Arabidopsis thaliana: one gene and its partners. The protein of the gene in region 2 purifies or fractionates together with the protein of the main gene of each other region. This does not show direct contact. Each region holds a gene or a part of one and is shown on either strand. Other genes may lie near its edges. The genes, in order: SDG25, AT1G12530, HCF173 and AT1G09200.

Region 1 (5,927 bases), on a different chromosome or scaffold from region 2:
CTCTAAACATTTGTAAATATTTTTGATAGCATTAATATAAAATCTGTATCAAAATTTAAGAGTTAAAAAAAAAAAAGACACGAAGTTGGATTCAAAGTCGAAGATTCGTCCCCATTTCTTAACGAAAAATAATGGGAGCTTAAGTGTTTGAAGATGTTTGATAGTGATACGGAAATCAACGTGGAATTGCGTCCTACGAGGACAATTCTTTTGTGAAGCTGAAGAATATTTTAATTACTAGGAAAATAATTGGGATGTTTCGGTGATGTTTTCCTCACCAGATTTGATGTTTGTCGGCGGTGAAAGTTGATATCGGTATATTTTGATGACTCTTCATCTTGTGTTGCAGTTGTAATATCATGTAGACAGTTGTATTGGATAAAGTCAAAATGTCAAAACATCTCTATGCCTAACTTTTATTTCTCCACAAATCGGTGTAGATTTTAAAGTCTTGTTTCTCTTTTAGTGGGTTAGCCAAGCAAAATTTTTTTTTATTTTTGGTGGGTTACTTCATAATACACTTATCAACTCTAGCTAGGTCGATGAGGCTTTCTGTGTGGTAGCTCGGCATCGGCGATCAGATAATTAGAGTTGATAGAGACATTATCGGAGGCTGTGGCACAAGAGCAAACAAGGGCAACTGGCTGCAATACCATTTAAAGAGAGTGACGGGATCCAGGATGGAGAAGGCTAGATGGATCAGGGTTAACCCTTTCGCTGCCATCTTCGTCACCGGTTCGAGCCATGCTGAAATCTGGTGAGGTTGTTGGTCGACTAGGATCACGAAACAACTAGATTCATAGATCTGGACGCATGTGTGAGATTAAGCTCAAGTTCACGCATTTTTACAAATTTGACTTTGAGGAATCTTGGCATGGTGGATCAAGTTTCATCGAAAACAACTATCAGTCTAGAGGACCCGCGCGAATATAAGATTCTGGAAAGTTTGATAAAAGGATATCCAACCACTATAAACCAAAGCAAAGGAAGAACGTCGTGGTGGTCGGGAAGGTGACAAAAAAGAACAAAAAGTTTGCGAAAAGTGGAATAGAGACAAGAGACTAAAAGATGGATAGATACATCTTTACGCCGGCGAGCAAAGACTCCACCAGTATTGAAAAACTGGTTCATGCGGCTGTCCTCGATTATTGAACCTGCGTGAGAGAGTTTTTTTTAGCTCAATACAAAAGTAGATGGTTAATATTTTATTCGACCACTAAATTATTAAGCTGAAAAATAACTCGAGTGAAAAATATGACACATATCAATTACTTTTATAATGTATTGATAAGAAAGATTAAAATATGAAAATCAAATATACTCAATTGCTATAAATCTTTTACCAACTAACAAAGGTTGAAGAATGAAAACTAAAATCTAATTTGACATAGTTAAAAGATATAAAAACGATAATATGAATATTAGATTATTTAAATACCTTATAAAAATAAAATTTTATAAATGATTGGATCGAGTCTCCCCGTAGTGATTACTATCCAAAAGTATCTATAAACTTTATAAACTTTTCATATTCAATTAGGGACATTTTTGAAAATAGACAACTCAATGGAGCATTTTTGAATAATGGGACATCAAAAGAGGCATTTCAATAATTTCAAAAAATATTACTTCTAATTTAAAATATTAAAAATGATCTCACATGTTCCTTGTTAAAAAGAAATTCAAATACACAATATTAAATTTATTTTAGTTTTCATATATTTTATTAGAAAAATAAAATTAAAATGAATAATAGGAAATTTTAGATTAAATCATGACACATGCATGTTGCAATGTAAAATTAGAAACACTATGATATATGAATCTTATATAGAATCTAAAAAAATATGAAAATAAAAATAAAAATTATTAGAATTAATTAAAATAAAATAGAAAATTATAAACACGATTATATATGAATCTACGATAATGCAAAAATAAAAAATGGAAAAATGAAAAAAGTAAGAAATTTAAAATATACAATAATATATTAAGTTAAATATTTACAAAAGGAAGAAGTATATATTGATGCCATATAATTCTAATTGTAAAAAAATCAAATAAACAACATGCAAACTTAATTGAAATCTTCACATATTCTTAACTGACCAAAAATTATAGAAGTATATCATATAAAATTTTAAATTCAATCATGATATATGACAAAATTAAATCATGATACGTACCACTATACTATTAATTAGTAACTTTTTGAATAATAAAAAAATAAGTAAGTAATTGCTAAAAACATTGTAGATCATCCCACAGCTTTTTTCAACGAACCCTAATTGTTATTCTTTTCTTATTTCCTTTTTCAATTTGTTGATAAGAGAAACTTCTTCGTCTTCTATGTCTTCTTCTTCTATGTCTTCTTATCAATTTCAGTTCAATTTGATCACAGTGTCATCGCTTCCTTGAGCTTGCTTCACTTCCCTGAAAATTTTGGTAGGTGTGTTCTTTTTTCCTACCGTACTGTTTCTCCCGAGGTCTGATGTTTTTCCTTTGTGTGTGTTCACGTATCTGGTTCTCTGTTCGATTCAATGTTACAGCTTCTGGGTATCATGCATATTGTCTTCTTTAAGAAATTAGGTTTAAGAAAGACTCGATTTTTTTGCTCTGTAGACAAACTTGGCGATCGTCTTTGCTCCCAGATTTCATAAATGTGTAGTCTTTCTTAGTGTTTCTCTCTGTAATGATTTGGGTACTGTCTCAAATTTAATGACATTGCTTTAAACCCAGTCTAAAAATTGAATATTTGAGAAAGCTTGTATTTTTATTGAAGTTTAATGATCATGTTTTTTCGTGTAGAGAAGATATCTCGAGTTTATCTGTGTCATGGTTGCGGTTGATTCCACTTTTCCTAGCCATGGTAGCTCTTATTCTAGTAGAAGGAAGAAAGTTTCTGCTTTGGAACCGAATTATTTCGGTTCAATGTGTATGGGAGTTTACAGTGATGATGTTTCAATCTCTGCAAGAGAAGTAGCTCAAGATTACTCTTGTGACAGGTGCAACTTGTAGTTAAGTTTTTCGTAGTTGTGAATTAACTAGTTGGATTGTCAATCTAAAAGAAAAACTGTATTTTTGCTTTTCAGCTGTGGTGATTTGGCTACTGTATCTTCCGCTTGTTGCAATTTTGATGAACTGTGTGGTTTGGATTCAGCCTTGGAGATGGGATGTCGTTCAAATGAAGACTGTCGTGCGGGTCAAGAGGCTTCTGGTAGTGGCATAGCTTCAGGTCTAGACAAGAGTGTTCCAGGGTATACCATGTATGCAAGTGGTTGGATGTATGGTAATCAGCAAGGTCAGATGTGTGGCCCTTACACGCAACAGCAGCTATATGATGGGCTATCAACTAACTTCTTACCGGAGGATCTTCTTGTATATCCAATTATCAATGGTTATACTGCAAATTCTGTACCACTTAAGTACTTCAAGCAGTTTCCAGATCATGTCGCTACTGGCTTTGCATATCTACAAAATGGAATAATAAGTGTAGCCCCATCTGTTACTTCATTTCCCCCTTCTAGTAGTAATGCTACAGTCCATCAAGATGAGATTCAAACAGAGCATGCAACTTCTGCTACTCATTTGATCTCCCATCAGACGATGCCTCCACAGACAAGTTCTAATGGTTCTGTTTTAGATCAGCTAACACTAAACCACGAGGAATCAAATATGTTAGCTTCATTCCTCTCATTGGTAACTTCCTTTCAACGGTGAAAACTCAGTTCACAAGTTCATCAGACATGATGGCTCGAGTTCACATAAGAATTTTCTTTAATGTTTGGGTTTTCTGTTAGGGAAACGAACATGCTTGCTGGTTTCTCGTTGATGGTGAAGGTAGAAATCATGGTCCACATTCTATATTGGAGCTTTTTAGTTGGCAGCAGCATGGATATGTTTCAGATGCAGCCCTGGTAAGCTTTTATGAATATAGACTTTTTAAAGATTTTCTGAAAGATTGTGATTAGTTAAATTTCATGCAATTTATAATGATTTTGATCCTGTTGCCTCTTTGTAGCCTTGTGCCTAGCTTTGTTTCTTCATGCATCTTCTTTTCAGTTTTGAGGTTTTTAGTTACTATTTTAGAATACTTGGTTAGAATATATGTTTTCTCCCCTTCTTCTAATGTTTGTGATAGATCAGGCCATCTGGTGTTTATCATTTTGCTTAAGAGTTTTTGTTTTGTAGATACGTGATGGTGAAAATAAGCTTAGACCAATCACATTAGCATCGTTAATTGGTGTATGGAGGGTGAAATGTGGTGATGCTAATTGTGACGAGCCAGTGACTGGCGTGAACTTCATATCCGAAGTTTCGGAAGAACTCTCTGTTCATCTTCAGAGTGGAATAATGAAAATAGCTAGAAGAGCTCTACTCGATGAAATCATCAGCAGTGTGATTTCAGACTTTCTGAAGGCCAAGAAAAGTGATGAGCATCTCAAGTCTTATCCACCCACTTCTGCTGTTGAATCCATATCGGTAGCTCTTTTTATTATACATTGAACTATCAAACTTCAGGGGCTATCATTGAATCATACACTAATATGGTAACTTTTGGTTTGCGCAGTCTCGGGTTATTAATGCGGAGAAAAGTGTTGTCTCAAACACTGAATCTGCAGGCTGTAAGAATACAATGAATGAGGGGGGTCATAGTAGTATAGCTGCAGAGTCGTCCAAATATACTAAATCTGTTGGAAGCATTGAGAACTTTCAGACATCTTGCTCAGCTGTGTGTAGAACGCTTCACCACCATTGCATGCAAATCATGTGGAATGCAGTCTTTTATGATACTGTGGCAACTCATTCATCATGTTGGAGAAAGAACAAAATTTGGTTTCGGTCTTCTGATATCTCGACTGTTAATTACTGCAAAGGTTCCCATACAAAGTATTCAGACAAACCTGAATCATTTGAGAGTGTGAGCTTATAAAAAGTTTCTATGACTTTAATAGATTAAGTGTCATTTTTTTCTAATTAGCTTTGCTCATCAATGAAATGAATTGTCATTTTTAATGTTTTGCAGTTTACTTGTAGGGTGGATTCCTCTTCCTCTAAAACTGCTTACTCTGATGAATTCGACTTAGCTACCAATGGAGCCAGAGTTCGTGGATTGTCATCAGATACTTATGGAACGGAAAGTGTCATAGCAAGCATCTCAGAACATGTTGAAAATGAACTCTTTCTGTCTCTTAAAACTCACCTAACTGATTATACTAGTATTCTCATTAAAGATGGAGCGAATAATACTACTAGTAGTGCACGAGATGGCAAAATGCATGAGGTAAGGAGACAAAATCTCCTTGTTTGGCAATTTTTAGAAGTTTTCTAAGGGAAAAGCTATCCTTTCTCGTTCTGCCATCTTTGCCATATGCTAGCAAGTGGGGGCTGAATTCAAATTGTTTCAAATTGCTGCAGGAAAACCCGCCATCTCTTCAGGGTTCCTTCCGTGAGCAGTATAATTTGGAAGGGTCTAGTAAAAAGAAGAATGGCTTAAATGTGGTTCCTGCTAAGTTGCGGTTTTCCAATGATTTCAGTGATTCTCAGAGACTGTTGCAAGAGGGAGAATCCTCCGAGCAAATCACATCTGAAGATATTATTGCTAATATTTTTAGTACAGCATTGGAGACATCAGATATTCCTGTTAATGATGAACTTGATGCTCTGGCCATTCATGAGCCACCACCACCTGGATGTGAAAGCAATATTAATATGCCATGTCTGCGCTATAAGTATCAGCCTGTTAGGTCCAAGGAATCCATTCCAGAGATTAAAGCATATGTTTCAATGGCATTATGTAGACAGAAGTTGCACAATGATGTTATGAGAGATTGGAAATCACTGTTCTTAAAGTGTTATCTCAACGAATTCCTTGCTTCACTGAAAGGAAGCCATCAAGTTTCTCGTAAAGAAACATTGGCACTGAA
Region 2 (4,923 bases):
AAGAAAACAACGTTAAACTATTCGAAAGATACGATTGAGTGAGTGATACTAATACTAAACGATTAGATTTATTTCGAAGGTGTGCATTTTAAACGATTTAACTTGAGCTGTACATTTAGTGGCTATTTATTAGGGAATATATATTGTTACGCAAAACATGCAACTTACATTTAAAATGTGCTTTATTCATATATTTTGTTTCATCCGACACTAGGTTCTTGAAATGATTTTAACTTTCAGTTTATTGAGCCAAAATAGTTTCAGTTAGTTTCTTAACTCCTATGTTATGTAAATACTGATTTTTTAAAAAATTCACACATATCAAAAAACAATGACTAGTTCTTAACAATACATACATCATTTAATTTTCATATACAAAACACTTTCTACTATTAGTAACTGTATAGAAAATCTAAAACAAATGAAAATCATCCAATATATAAAAAAGTACTTCTTGTCGATTAATCGATTTAGTTCATAGTAATTTTCAGGTTACCAATTTGTATTATAAAGAGAAAGTGTTGTCATTTATATAGTTTACCATAGATGCCGAAATACATTATTTAATTCTTCAGGCCGCCTAGCCTAGGATAAAAACATATAATGATAGACCTATATTTTATATTATTTTGGTCGACGAAAAAGTTGGTATATTAAGATTTATGTCAATTTCAAGCAAAAGTTAAATAATTATTTATATTAAAATAGCACTAAGAAAATGATTTTTTTTTCTCTAGACATGATTGCATGGCATCTAAGTAAACGATTCGTAACATTACATATCGAATTATCGATTATACTTTTTCGGGACAAAGACCCAGTATACTAAATACTTATGAGCACGTAGCAAAACTGATCGTTGTTGGTTAATTATAAATCACAGAAACTTTATACGGTCATACCAGAACATTTAATTTACTTTATTTTGTGGTACTCTTGTTTTAAGAGATTGGATTTGGTCATAATCGGTTAAAAATTAAGCGTATAGTCATATAGATATGTGTAGTCACGAATAAAAAACAATCACTTCTTCTCATTTAAATGTCCTTGGAAGTGAACTCTCAGTTATTTTCTCTCTTTAGAACCATGTTTTTCGATCTTCCTATACAAACTCATCTCAAATTTCGAACTATGTTTTTCTATTTTGCTTTTGTTGTGTCTTACAAGTTCAACGTTATCTAATTTATATAAATGTCTGAAGTCTTGAACAATAAGACCTACCAAAAAGATAATGGTCGATTACGTTAATTACATGAAGATCATGAAATGTTGGAGTACATGAGAGTCCTAAAAAATACAATCGGTTACTTTTGTATCTTAAAGGATTTATTTATTTATATATCCTCGATTAAGAACGATTTCAATATTCCAAATTCTTCATATAGGGGGCAAATTAGAGTCTAATTAATTTCGAAGGATGATGTGGACACTTGAAAGATACCAAATTTTGCAATAATTGGTGGATTTTAATGAATTAAAGGGAATAGATATTGGGGTCAGGATTAGGTCTGACTTTCATCTTATGGTCCATTTGAACTTGTTCCATATAACAACATAATCGTGTCGTGTGTCATGATTATGATTATGAAGTGCTTTGTGCATGAACATGGTGGTGACCATGTTGGCAATTATGTTAAATGAACATATATACATCAACATTCAGCAAAGGTCACTCGTAAAATATAAACGTGAATGAAGACGAACAAACTATAATTTTACAAGTGGATCGGTTCAAACACAAGAGTTTAAAAGTTAAATTTACTAATTACAAAAGAAAAATAGATAAGGAATATTGTTAAAACTATAAAATAGCTAATTAACTATTCAATTATGGTTTAATTTGTGATTTGTAGATCCATGATGCATCATGAAGCCCTGACAATTTAAATAGATGCAAACAAAATTATTGATTTTATTAAATACGACTTTTTGAAAAAAATAAAAGGAAAGAAATAGAAAATCCAGAGGAAGGAAGGAAGAGTGAGAGATGATGGGTATGGCGAGGAAGATAAGCAAAGAGGAAGTTGTAGAGAAGCTTAAGGACGACGGAGATTTTGATCGTCTCCGTCTCAAAATCATTCGCCGCCTCAAAGAAAACGTAAGCCCTCTTTCTCTTTCTCCGTCGTCTTCGCATTGCACATCGTGTGTTTTTCTTTCCTTGCTCCTCTAATTAGGGTTCATATTCTCTCGATTCCCAGTACATTCGTGGCTTTGTTAGGACCAGTGATAATGATTAGTCGATTTTGATTGTTTCAAAAGATCATCAAATTGGAATCTTTTGTTAGTTTGACTTGAGTAATAGAGATTTCGATTGAGAATTTGTATAAAGTTTGCTCTTTTGGTTCATATAGACTGAGCCCAATAGTCCTCCATAAATGGTTTTAGGTACTTTCATCAGTAGCTTCTCGGAACTCACTCCAAAAAATTTGATCTTTTCGTTTCGTGTGTACTGTTGTAGTGTTGAAACAAGTGATATGGTTAGTTGTGTGCAAAGATAAGTTTGAGCTTGGTCTCAGGGAAGGTTTGTGTTAATATGGGATTCCTAACAATACCAGTTGTTTAAGATAGGGAAAGTTTGGTCATTTGATTTTGATTTTGGGATAAGTGTATCTGAAGTTGCTTTAGAGGCGTGGAAGTAAGTAAACCATTGATGATTCGGAGAGTTTATCAAGATGCCTTTAGTTTTTCTTAGATGAATCAGATCCTAGGGGAGAGAGTTCTCTTAATGGTGTTAAGCTGTTAGATCACAGCTATAGGCCTACTATAGCTGATTCAGAATTTCAGTATCACTTACTGTGAATTGGTTTGACATCTTACTTATAGCTGGTATAGTGTTCATTGTCTTTGAGGAGTCTTTATACTTATCCATCGAATGGGCATTGTCATTAGCGCAACTTGGTAGAATATTTAGATAAGAGTGAAGGTTACTACTTTCTTAGCCGGAGAAGTTTATGTAAGGCAACAAGGAATTTTCTTTTAACAGTGTTTGATAAACATCTTGAGCTTTGTTCTTCTGGACTGCCTGTGTTTGCATTGTGATCTGACTATTAAAGCGGTTACTGGATTGCAGGAGGATTTACGGAATAATATGATATCAGTTGTCAAGGAGTCAACATCTTTGAAACGACATGGTGCTCAAAATATGAAAACCAGGCAACTCTCTGATGCGATATTCGAAGAAGTCGGGTAAATTAAGAGGGATTTTCTTCTATTCAGCTAACTCCTGTTGTTGTAAATGATTATGACACAAGCGTACTAAATTTTTTGGATTGTTTCCTGTAGGAGCAAGATGCTAAGCCAGCTCTCAGATGGTTTATGGGGGATAATAAGATCAGAAGACGGGATGAAGAATGAAATCAGAGAAACCGTTCAATCCGTCTACGCCACATTATCTAACCCGAGAGGCGAGAAACGCGGAACATCCGCTAGAGAAATGGAACATAAGATTCCAACACCAAAAAAAGAAGCAAGAACTGATTTCAACACCAGTCCAGCGAGTAAACAGAAGCAAGAGCTGATTAAAGGAGCTGTAGAAGATAACAAAGGAGAGGCATGTAGTGATGATGTACAAGATAACAAAGGAGAAGCATATAATGATGATGAAGAAGATCCTGAACTCCCTCCTGGCTTTGGCTAAAACTGTTTTTTGTATCATCAATAAACTCCCTCTGAAATATTATTGCGTTTAAGGTAATAACACCAACTGTTTGTAATAACAACAGAATTACTGCACATTAATTTACCAAAGTAATAGTGATCCCCAGATTAACCGATTTATTTTTTAATTAAAAATGATAAAATTTAAAGGTTGTTGAAAGGTCAGAAATAAAAAGCCGCAAAAACTGAAGAAGCAAGATAATGGCATCAATTCTCAGGTCAGTGGCAACGACTTCAGCCGTCGTAGCCGCCGCCTCTGCGATTCCCATCGCGATCGCCTTCTCTTCTTCTTCTTCTTCTTCCTCTACCAACCCCAAATCTCAATCTCTCAATTTCTCCTTCCTCTCCCGATCGTCTCCACGTCTCTTGGGACTTTCACGAAGCTTCGTTAGCTCTCCGATGGCGACTGCTCTCACTTCTGATCGTAATCTCCATCAGGTTTTGGTTTAAAGCTTTGAACTTTTGAAATACCCTATTTCCAATTTGAGCTTTTTCGCTTTCCTGATTCGATGATTAAGTATTTAAGTAGCTGAATTTGATTTGCAGGAGGATCGAGCCATGCCTCAGCTTCTTGTAAGTCTTTCTCGTAATCCTGTATCTTTATACAACAATTTTTGGATTTGAGCTAGTGAGAACTTGTGTTGTGTGTTCCAGACTGAGTTTATGGTGGATATGACATGTGAGGGTTGTGTTAATGCTGTGAAGAACAAATTAGAAACCATTGAAGGTAGTAGGAGAAACAACTTTATTAATCGTCGTCTGTTTGGTTATGATTTACTTTGTTGGTGCTTATTATGTGTAATGGAAATTTTTAATCTTGTAAGGTATTGAGAAAGTGGAGGTGGATTTGTCCAATCAAGTTGTGAGGATACTTGGATCTTCCCCTGTTAAGGCTATGACTCAAGCTTTGGAGCAAACTGGTCGAAAAGCTCGCTTAATTGGACAAGGTGTTCCTCAAGGTTAGATATCTCTTCTCGGGTCACTTTGGTTTTTGTTTGAGAAGAAAGATTTGAACATCAAAAGAAAGAAGATATATTTTCTCAGCTCATAGAACATGTAAGGAGTACATGGCTTGTGTTTATGTTTAGTTCAACATTAAGAAGATTTACGTACTGGCAATTTTCCATTCTTGAGCTACTCTTTAATACACTGACAGTATTGAATTTGAGGATTTACCGTTTCAATTCCACGGTTTGTCTTTCATTGATGACCTCTTTCCTCATTTGTTTTATGATATTTACTTTGTGATGTGTTTTGGCAGATTTC
Region 3 (6,446 bases), 1.5 Mb from region 2:
TAAGTGGCTTTGCTCTGTTCTTCTCGACCCATCACACAGAAAAAACCAAAAAAAGAAAGAATTTCAAGTTTTCAACTGTCAAAATCTTGTAGTAGTAATGGAAAATCATCACCGAATATCCGCCACAAAATACAACGGCGAAGCAGTGTCGGACGATGTGGGCCAGGGGAAGCTATATTCTCCAAACCACGCGATCAAAATCTCTCCAGAATCCGACGAAAACGTGGGCCAAGGGAACCTCTACTCTCCTGACCACGCGATCAAAATCGCAACGAACCCTGATTCCGTGGATTCCTCATCAGAGGAAGAAGAAGGAGAGAAGCAGAGGAAGACGATCATGTTGGGGCTGAAGAATCTTGCGGCGGTTAAGGATAAAGTGTTAGAAAAACTATCGGCTGCTTCGGTTCCATCTGAGTCGCTTGAAAACGCTAAACAGTTTTTGGAAGGAGCCATTAAGGATTTCGCCGGAGCGGCGCAGGGTATGACGAAAGACGCGTTGCACCGGATTAAAACTCAGCTCGCTGTTATTGTTCCGTCTGTTTCTCCTGCCGTCACCGAAAAGGTTTAGTTTTAAAAACAATTGGTCCACCGGGTAAACTAATTTGGACTCTTTTTTGGCTGACTTGTGAATTTACTTTTGACGGAGCAGATAGTGGACGATGCTGAGAAAGAAGCCATTGACGGAGAGGAAGAAGATGAGAGCAAGTCAAAAGAAAGCTCCGGAAAGTTGCCGTTTGTTTCTCCGACATCTTCGTTTTTCAGCTCTCTCGCCAAACCTTTCTCCAAGCTTTGATGGGTTTGTGTCGTACGCCTTCATGACTATCTGAGATAAATAAGACAAAGTCTGAGATCTTCTGAAGTTTCAATGTTTACTTATAATGAATGAAGATACTTTTTATGTTTATCATTCAAAATATTATGAGTTTTGTGTAATAGAAAACTGGGTTTCACACCCTTTTTATTATGTTGGTGGCCTTGGATTGTTTGTATTAGCACACAAATTTTAAGTTGAATATAAGAAATAAATGGTAATGGACATAAAGAGACCAAAGAGATTCTTGTATGTACAAGTTATACATGTACGTATGTATATATGCATGTAATGCGTATCAGAGCTTGAGATGTGTACAATATACAAAATGGAATCAATGATTCTTCTTCTCATGTGTTCTTCTCAAGTACAGATAAAGCCGGAGTCAGATAGTTGTTCGCCTTGTCTGGCAAATGAGCCACCTGAAAGAGACAAACACTATCAGATGATGTAATGATGTAGATGTGACTCTTATTGCAAGTGATTGTTTACTCTTTTACCAGCTCATAGAGTTCTATTCCTTGCTCAGCAACGTATTCATGGCAAACCTGTAAAAACCAAATGGAAGAAATTTGAGAGATCCATGATGTGATTTCTTCTTTATAGATCAAAGATTGAATCTTTCTTAGTTTTGGTTCTTGAAAAGGGTCAAAGATTGATTCTTTCTCAGTTGTTTCTCTATAAACTGCAACTCACATCAAAGCTTTTGTTTCTGGCGGTTGAATCGTGCAGTGCCTTGACACATATATCAGCCACATCCGCGCAACTAATGCCCTGAAATTGAAAGAAAATAGCGCATTGGGAAGTTATAAGTGGCTCCATCAGAGAACTTTTGCTAGGTGGCTTGAGTTTGTTTTTCGTGATTGAAATAACCTGAGAAATTCTGTTTCCTTGATCAAATATCAGAGCTCGTTGCCCGCCTGGTTCCTCCTATATCAGAAAATATGTATTCAGAGCCATATATATACAATATGGCTGGAGCTCAAAGAACATTACCTTCAAGGGACCAGGACGAATGATTGTGTATCCAAGGCCTGATCTCCTTAAAGAATCTTCACCAGCCTAACAAATTTAGCGGACATCAAGAGAGAAGGAGATAGAGATGTGAAAAGATGGAACCTACTGGCACAAAAGCCCTGACAATCCATAGCCTCGAAAGATTCAAGAGTTATTATGATGTGTAAGACAAAATGGACTTACCCTCTTAGCTTTCAACACTTGCTCCCTTCTGTTGGCTTCTACTCCCGAACCAGTACACGATACCAGAATAAAGTCTGTTTCTTGACCCGCCTGCAGACAAAAATGCAGGAAGCTGATGATGTATCTGTTTTTTTTTTCCGTTCTTTCAGGTGATAATCTTCAGTAAGTAGACATTAAGTTGGGAGTACTTACAGGCAAAGCTTTTATGTACTCAAATACAAGGCTAAAACTTCTCAAATCTTGTTGCGCACCAGCAAGTCCATCAACAGGCCTCTGAAAGAGGAAAAACCCCAAGAGATTGCTAACTCAGACACCAACGAATGAAAGTTTTCGGTTAATGATCACACAGATCAATCCGCAAAACCAACTGCTGAAGCTTTGAAAAGAGTAAGCAAACCTGTCTTTTAGGCTCAAAGCGTATTGTCAATGTGTGAACAAGAAATGGATCTAGCGGTGGATCTTCTGGGTTGACCGGTCGAAAAGCTGAAAATGGCACCCTTACCTGCCCAAGGAACCAAAGTTTTAGCCAAAAAAATAACGGAAAAGGGGTCAGACTAATGAGTAAGACCGATGATGCTTTATATACCCGACAAAACCCTGCTTTGGTACTGATCCTAGCGAAATACTGTTTGCTCTGAGACATATCTGATGATGGACCAGCTTCAAGGATTACAACATAGGATCTTCCATTCCCACCAACAGAAAGAACTAAGCCTTCGTACCTATTGATATAAAAGCATAAGCATATAAAAGAAGCTATAAGGCTAAATGAGTTTCAGGAGGTGTTAGAAATTTCATTTAATACTCCTTTCTCTAAGTTTCTATCATTGAATCATTTCACAGAACAAGCTGAGAGTAAGTTGATACGAAATCGCGCAATACCTGTCAAGAGTGGTACCCAATGGAAGTGAAAGTTTCTTCGACAACTCAACATATCCTCCTCGGGTGAAAACATAACCTGCATTTGAAAACTGATTAAACCACTATACCTCAAAATATACATCAAAGGAAAAAACTTTGGCAATTGCCATATTCTCCGGAAAGATAATGTGTACCTGAAAACTCAGCTCTCTCAGTTTCAGTGAACTCAAACTTAGCATCCATCCCACCATCATATTTGGAAGCGGTTGTGTCCTGAAAGTAAGTTCCTTGACGAATTTCCCAACCATCAAGTGACTCAGCTGACTTGAACTTAGCTAATAGAAGCTTGCTTTTGCTGCTTTTACCCGCCCTTAATTGCGCTAGTCTGTTATTGTAATCCTGCAAATACTCAAAACGACACACATGAATAAACTACTCTCTGCTCAACAAAACAAGAAACCAAATTAACCACGGTTGAGTCATGGACAAATCTTACTATACCTGAAAAGCCTTGGTGAGGTTATAAACACCCAAGTGATCAACCCGCGTAAGGTCTGCAGTAATCGTAGACCGAGCAGTCGCACAGTAGATGATCTTGCTGCAGCTTTCAACAGCGGATTTGAGCGTTGACGGTTCACCCACATCTCCAACAACAATATCCACTGACCTTGGCAACATACTCATCACTTCCTCATCTTGTTTCCTCACCAGTGCCTAAACGGTAACCTCAAATCTCTTAAAACTCTAAAGCATTTGCATAAACACACCAATACTACTTTATATTATAAAAATCAGCATTTTTTGAACCTTGACGGTGTAGCCACGGAGCATGAGTTTACGGACAACGATACGACCGATTCTACTAGTAGCTCCGACGACTAAAACGGTAACGTTTTGAGCGCCGGGAACAGCAAACTCACACATAGGTCCTTCTCTAATGAGTAGACTATCAAGAGTCTCTTGCTCATCGGGTCGGGTTGTCCTCGACATCTGACCTAATCCAGAGAATTTCCGCCACACCTCGTCGAAGATCTGCCGCGATCGTCGTCCTAATCCCACAGGATTCACATCGTCCAACTTCAGTGTAGGCGGAGACGGTGGTGATTGAGGCGAAGGCGGAGCAACGTCGAGCTTCTTCGCAACCGTCTCTTCGCTCTCCTTAGTGGTTATGGTTCCGGGTCGGGTTTTGGTCTTCTTCTTGTCGGAGGGTGGAGATGGAGACGGAGAAGAAGAAGATTGAGCCCTAGGGATTACGATTTGGGAGCGATCATGGAATCTGTGAATTCTGGTGTTGATGCTGAAACTGTTGCCAAAATTCGAGCTTAGAAACCTCGCATCAGTCGCAGCCATGTTACTGCCAACAATACTACCCACCATTTTTGAACTCTGCTACACAAACAGAGCTCAAAGACACAATTTTGAAAATAAATTTTTTGGATAAAATTATACTAAATGCATACAATTGTTTGTTAAATGAATCTTATTTGCATGCTAGACTGTCATTGAGAACACTCTTGGTCGAAATTGGGAATGGATAACGAAAGTGAGATTTTTCAAGTTTTTTTTTGTCGTTAAGAGAAAATAGAGAAGAATAAGAAATGGTTGGATCGGAGGATTTTGACATTTCGGAAAGAAGGAGAGAAGAAGAAGACCACAGAATCTGGTTTATGTGTTTTCGGACAGTGATATGACTTATGAGCCAATTAACTAGCCACGTACACTCTCTCTTTTCCTCTTCTTTTTTTTAAAAAAAAAAATATACTTCTTCACCTTTTTTTTTTTTGGAGAAACAAACAAGAAAATTTCATTCCAAGTTCCAACTATATAATAATTCCATAAAATTTCATATCTGTATATTTCAAGCGTTAAGGAAGCTGCGTTGGCTTCTCCTTCCTGCACGATTCTATTGGTGATGGGAATTGGAAGCAACTGTGACCCTTATTGCAGCAATGGTCACAAAGGCCAATGCAATAACAAGGATTCCAAAGCAAATATTAGATTATGAATTATGACTTGGAGCTAACAGCCTAACAATAGCATTTGCATTACAAAACTACACAAATTTAGAAAAGGTAGCAGTGTCGTGATAACGTTTACCTTATTAATCCAAAACCTAATTCAATGAAACGATACTAAAATGTTAATACAAGTTCGCCCAAAAATGTAAGAGAAGGAAACATCCTTAAAGAGACACACTTCATCTTTCTTACTTATCTAGCAAGTTATCTATTTATATGTATATATATTACATTCCTGCCACATCCCCCAAAGGGATATAAGCTATTTTACAAATTGTACCAGACTACAAAAAAAAGACGGAGAGGTAGAAGACAGTAATCAGTCACAGAGTAATATATGTATAGTCAAAGAATCACCAGCCAGATCAAGCCACTGAACTAATCGAAGAGTCTGGAATCTCATTTCTTCCTTTTCGCGACCTTACACACAGCATAAGTTAGCATCTACGACGATTCTTCTGCTTCAATTGGCACTTAAGCTGAGAAACTCTTCAAGTCACTCAAGTTATTCATCATCATCACTCCACGACTTGCGACTGTTAAATAGGAATCCATCTAAATTAAATCGTTATATGGCTGTTTCATGTCTTCACTAGCTGCTGTTATTCACTTTTTCTTCACCTTCTTCAAGTGGAGATCATAAACACCAGTTTCTTTTATCTTCTTAACCTTCGGAAGAAGATTACATTTCCACTTCTGCTTAGATCCTAAATGAAATTAGTATTTACAAAAATTAATCAACCCGAGGTTCCAGCGACTTCTGCAGCTCTCTGTCTCATCATCTCCATGACGGCAGCTCTCCGCCTAGAATCTGATTGCTGTTGTAACCTTCTCAGATGTTCCTTTAGGTCCCTGAATTGAGAAGATTTACAATGATCAATACAAATCATGCGGACCATTTTTTTCAAAAAAGCTTTGCCATATGTTATGCCCCGGTTCTAATATATCCAAAAATGTCGTTTTTACTTTCAATTTTACGTTTTTACTTGTTGAAAGAAAAGGCAAATACTGAATGATCCCGTTAAGAGATCGATTGCAAAATGTTAGACAGGGACAGAAGTTAAAGAGATTACCCGCATCGAGGTACATCACACTCGGATTCCTTGCAGGCCCGAGCGTGGAGTTGCAACAGATACCACATTTTCTTGCATAGAACACAACCTCCTGAAGCACGTACTTTGCAGCGGAGACCATGTCGGAATAGCCCCTTCACTTTGCGGCAGTTGGGATATAGACAAACTGGAGAACGGCATTGCGACGCATGCACCAGAAGATCGAGCATTTTCCTGAGCTGCATATTTTAGATAAATGAAAACTTTAGCACTTCAGATACATTGTGGGAGCTATATGACCTAACAAAGCCCAATTGTTTTCTCAAATCAGAAGAAGCCTAAAGCAAGAGAAGAAGAGGCAGTTTTTTCAAGAGGATCTACCATGCACAACAACAACAACAAAAAACTGAATATTACAGTACCTGCAAGACTCGCAATTGCCTAGCTTCTTTATTCTGAGCGTTTTGATCAGCTAGAGATGGATGAGTTGTTAACTTATGAGGA
Region 4 (4,158 bases), 1.3 Mb from region 2:
AAGCCTCATGACCGATCGCCATCTTGCATTAGCATTTAAATCATATGATCCATCAAAAGCTTTGGCCAGAGAATCAGCAATCACACCCTCTGCCAATGCATACTCTGAGACCTCCATGTCCTCTATGCCAAGAGCCTTGAATATTTCCTCCAACAATACAGCCCCAGCAACAATGAACTCTGATCTTCTCTTGAAAAATCCCTCCCTTCGAATCAGCTCTTCGTCTCCTTCACTGCATAGCTTTGCTACAACGCTGCTCAGCTCTCTTGTACCAAATCTCCAGTCCCTCTTATACCCTTCCAAATTGAAATCACACAAATCAGCTCCATAGCCACTGAAAACTGCATTCTCAATAGCTCGTATAGTTCCAGAAGATCCCACAACAACCTCAAAACCATCTGATTCATTCAATTTTTCTGCTAACCTAGACTCATCAATCGCATGACGAATATAGTCTCTCATTTCCTTCAATCCAATACCATTTTTCATAAACATCTGCGTCAAATTCACGTGACCTAGCTTTAAAGAAACAGCAAGCTTGACATCACCACACTTACCAACCACAAATTCAGTAGAACCACCTCCAATATCAACACACAACACTGATTTCTCAAACACAGGTAAAAACTGAAGCACGCCTAAATAAACTAACCTGGCTTCCTCTTCACCAGAAAGCACATCGACCTTAAGCCCAACATCCTCAAAAACCGCATCCACGAACTCTTCCTGATTCTCGGCTCGCCGTAAGGCTTCCGTTGCAACGCATCGGATCCTATCACCAGAGACGTGGTGCGAGAGAATTAAACTTTTGAATTTCCGTAGAGATTGAAGCGCGCGAGCCTGAGATTGAGACGAAATTGAGGTTGGAGATTCACGAGACAACACCACTGGCTCTTTGAGTCTCTCGATTGGAACGAAAGATCTACCGGAAGGCTCAGCTTGGACTATTAGAAGCTTGAAAGAATTTGTTCCCAAATCAATGGAGGTGAAGACCTCCGATGATATAGGATTCGATAGCAGATTGGAGTTCATCTTCGATCGAATCACAACTAATTAACAATGATCTTCACAACAATTTCAGCGTCAAAGCTGATTAATTTGTGAGACTATAATGAGTTGTGAACTAGCACAAATTAACCAAACAATTAGTGATTAATAAAGTCAACTAAAAAGTCAATACTTTGATAGAACAAAAGATAATTGCTTGGAATTAATATTATAACCCTTGGATTTAACTTGAAATTTTACAATCTTATGGTTCTAATCAAAACACAAGAGTAACCAGAATACTTAGATCTAAGCTCGTTCTCCTCTGATTCTTCTCGCGAGCTGGATGTCCTTGGGCATGATCGTGACCCTCTTGGCGTGAATGGCGCAGAGATTGGTGTCTTCGAAGAGTCCGACGAGGTAAGCTTCAGCAGCTTCCTGAAGAGCGGCGACGGCACTGCTCTGGAAACGAAGATCGGTTTTGAAGTCCTGAGCGATCTCTCTGACAAGCCTCTGGAAAGGGAGTTTACGGATAAGAAGCTCAGTGCTCTTCTGGTACTTCCTGATTTCTCTTAAAGCAACAGTTCCGGGTCTGAATCTGTGTGGCTTCTTCACTCCTCCGGTGGCCGGAGCAGATTTCCTCGCCGCTTTTGTCGCCAGCTGCTTCCTTGGAGCCTTTCCTCCGGTTGATTTCCTAGCCGTCTGCTTGGTACGAGCCATGAAGTAAAATGTTATTAAGAAACTGTTTGATTTTAATTTGAAGATGAGAGAAAGTTGAGATCTGGATAGTTTGTTTCGATTGAGGAAGGGGATATTTATCGTCTGGAAATTACAAGAAGTGGGAGGGAAAATATTTCGCTTTTCTTTTTCAGCGGGATTAGATCTGGATCGTTCATTGGTTTTTAATCAACGGATATAAGAGGTTTCTATCACGATCCGCGTGAAATCACAGCAACCGTAGATTAATACAATTCTACGGACAGATTTCATTCTTTTCTAACACTGATCCGCGTGAAGGTACGAAGACCAATAGAAATAAAAGAAATAATCTAAATATATTATCTTTACCAAAAAACCAAGCCCATTACTTAATAGGGCCTGCGTAATTGTTTTTCTTTTTTTGGTTCTCAATCAGCTTTTTCTGGGCTTAAATACCATCTCAATATGCTAGGACGCTGTTTTGTATAAAGATTGTGACTTCATCTTTTGAGAATGACATCATGAATTAAAATATTGCTGTCTAAGGTTAAGGTAAAACAAAGATTGCACTGCATTCGTTCTCTAGCGTTCTAAGCATCTGTGGTTGGGGTACAATTATCTCTATATAATTTTTGTTATCTCAACATCTGTCTTCACAATGGAAGTGAACCCAGTATAAGTGTATAGACAATGTGGAAATTGTTTGGAAAGTGAAAGACATTCTACATTACTACTACTCTAGTATCAATCAACTTGCAGGGACGTTGGACTGTTGGATTATGGACTTGGTGGTCTGTATTGACTGACAAGAGACTAACAACAAATTCTCAAAGGGTGGGGAGCAGTGAACGAATACACCAGAATCCGATTTTGGCGGACATTGGCTTAGCAGAGAAACAAGAGTAGAGAAAGAGAAGCAACTGCAAAACTTCTTCATGGTTTTTTAAAGTCTAAAATGAGCATCTGACAGACATTGTATCCCCCTTTTAGTTTTGCTAAAACTTGTTTCTATCTCCGACAAACTAGATGCTAAAATACTTCAAAAGAAAACGATAAAACAATAAAGAGACTGAAAACTTTGGTCTTCAAATCTTCAACCTTTCACCTATAGCTCATCCTGCAAAACCAAATCACGCAGTTTTAACCACAACTCAAGGAAAACAACAAAATTATGGATGAGTGAAATTTCTCCAAGTGATATTGTGGTAGCATACATGAGCGGTGGCGTCTTTCTCAGAGGTTTCCTCGCTATCTACTGATTTGGTCTCCTCGGCCTTAGATTCAGAATCGGAATCATCTCCTCCTTCATCATCCTCTGGTTCGTCTTCAGCCTGGAATTTATATCACATATAATATTAGGACCTTGACAGAAACAAACAAGACTCTAAAAAATTTGATCCTTCACAAGTGCTTACATCAGATTCCGCAGGTGCGTCCTTGGATTCCTGTATCAACACAGAAAAAGGAGAATGCCGTCTTAGATTATCTATTCCCAACTTGGTTACAACAATTACATAATTGGCAGTAGAAACTCCACAAAAGTCCAAACTACTTGTTTTAGAGAGATTCAAATGAATTAAGCTAAATAATTAGGAGAGATATTTACCTCTTCCTCATTCTTCTTCTCAGCCTCATCGAAAGCTGCTTTCTCCGCCTGCAATGTGATATTAGATTGGATATTCTGATCAGTAACCAGAAACAAAAAAAAAAAAACTGTGTTATGAAATTGGGTATTTTAAACACCTACATCCTTGAGCTTTCCCCATGTTTCATCTGCCAACTTCTTGGCATAGTCTGGGTCATCGCAGATCAAGACATTGTCGAACAATGATCCTGATTTCACCTGGAAGAGTAACATGTATTAGATGAGAGTCATGGGAATAAAGCATATCTTCGAAGGTCATTCAAAGTGACAAAGATTTATTTACCTGCCACAATTCGAGTCCAACATATTTCAGCTTGGGGAAGACGTAGAGCTCTGGGTCATCCTTGAAGTCTGCGGTAATCAGTTTATTTTAGGCACACTAATTGTTTATTATTATGTCTAAGAGAGCTAAATTTTCATGTAAGTTAATGCAAGCATAAAAAACAAAAAGTTGCGAGTTCTACAGTTACATCCAAATGAACATGATATAAAAGTGTAAATAAAGGTGAACAAAAGATATAGATTACTAAATGTGTCAAACTGGTGTGACCATGGATTTAATGATAGAGAAGATAAAAGAAAAACCAGGTTAGTTACAAACATGTTTCTATTTAATAGGTTAAACCACTAAACATAGAGACGCCAATAAACCTTTTGGAAGTAAAGGATTACTTCAGCATTTGAGTTTAAATGAACCCTTAGGCCTTAGACTTAGATAGTCCTTCTACTTAGTCAAGAGAAATCTAACTGGAGAAGATTTAGGCATACCAGAAACGACCATCAAACAACAAAGAACAGAAGTTGAACCACAAATTACATGCAACATG

What was found.
Region 1: the proteins of AT1G12530 (region 2) and SDG25 purify together in Arabidopsis thaliana (affinity purification with mass spectrometry, with the first as the bait; one study listed by BioGRID). This does not show direct contact.
Region 3: the proteins of AT1G12530 (region 2) and HCF173 purify together in Arabidopsis thaliana (affinity purification with mass spectrometry, with the first as the bait; one study listed by BioGRID). This does not show direct contact.
Region 4: the proteins of AT1G12530 (region 2) and AT1G09200 fractionate together in Arabidopsis thaliana (co-fractionation; one study listed by BioGRID). This does not show direct contact.

What each region holds. Positions count from the first base shown.
Region 1 is NC_003076.8:16,957,580-16,963,506, reverse strand, and holds the start of SDG25 (SET domain protein 25), read left to right. Parts: upstream 1-2,261; 5' UTR 2,262-2,445; exon of another isoform or gene 2,446-2,449; intron 2,450-2,804; exon of another isoform or gene 2,805-2,808; 5' UTR 2,809-2,835; coding exon 2,836-3,005; intron 3,006-3,092; coding exon 3,093-3,699; intron 3,700-3,800; coding exon 3,801-3,917; intron 3,918-4,191; coding exon 4,192-4,482; intron 4,483-4,570; coding exon 4,571-4,921; intron 4,922-5,026; coding exon 5,027-5,284; intron 5,285-5,418; coding exon 5,419-5,927. UniProt on the Arabidopsis thaliana protein: Histone methyltransferase involved in regulation of flowering time. Required for the expression of the flowering repressors FLC and MADS-box genes of the MAF family. Required for histone H3 dimethylation on 'Lys-36' H3K36me2 at the FLC locus.
Region 2 is NC_003070.9:4,267,836-4,272,758, reverse strand, and holds AT1G12530 (uncharacterized protein), read left to right. Parts: upstream 1-1,851; 5' UTR 1,852-1,987; coding exon 1,988-2,098; intron 2,099-3,070; coding exon 3,071-3,186; intron 3,187-3,282; coding exon 3,283-3,637; 3' UTR 3,638-3,773; downstream 3,774-4,923. Other genes in the region: CCS (copper chaperone for SOD1), read left to right, coding at 3,859-4,095, 4,204-4,230, 4,312-4,384, 4,482-4,616, 4,919-4,923.
Region 3 is NC_003070.9:5,720,964-5,727,409, reverse strand, and holds HCF173 (high chlorophyll fluorescence phenotype 173), read right to left. Parts: upstream 4,520-6,446; 5' UTR 4,250-4,519; coding exon 3,680-4,249; intron 3,587-3,679; coding exon 3,374-3,586; intron 3,272-3,373; coding exon 3,067-3,271; intron 2,970-3,066; coding exon 2,894-2,969; intron 2,734-2,893; coding exon 2,598-2,733; intron 2,514-2,597; coding exon 2,409-2,513; intron 2,285-2,408; coding exon 2,204-2,284; intron 2,102-2,203; coding exon 2,012-2,101; intron 1,874-2,011; coding exon 1,808-1,873; intron 1,742-1,807; coding exon 1,508-1,741; coding exon of another isoform or gene 1,490-1,507; exon of another isoform or gene 1,463-1,489; intron 1,360-1,462; coding exon 1,312-1,359; intron 1,234-1,311; coding exon 1,162-1,233; downstream 1-1,161. Other genes in the region: UP6 (uncharacterized protein), read left to right, coding at 98-562, 650-793; HAC12 (histone acetyltransferase of the CBP family 12), read right to left, coding at 5,628-5,742, 5,964-6,181, 6,365-6,446. UniProt on the Arabidopsis thaliana protein: Auxiliary factor required, together with HCF244, for the biogenesis of photosystem II (PSII), especially for the synthesis of the reaction center proteins (e.g.
Region 4 is NC_003070.9:2,970,426-2,974,583, forward strand, and holds AT1G09200 (Histone superfamily protein), read right to left. Parts: upstream 1,910-4,158; 5' UTR 1,708-1,909; coding exon 1,297-1,707; 3' UTR 1,146-1,296; downstream 1-1,145. Other genes in the region: AT1G09195 (Ppx-GppA phosphatase), read right to left, coding at 1-1,032; CRT1b (calreticulin 1b), read right to left, coding at 2,792-2,803, 2,901-3,017, 3,102-3,131, 3,293-3,340, 3,434-3,529, 3,615-3,682. UniProt on the Arabidopsis thaliana protein: Core component of nucleosome. Nucleosomes wrap and compact DNA into chromatin, limiting DNA accessibility to the cellular machineries which require DNA as a template.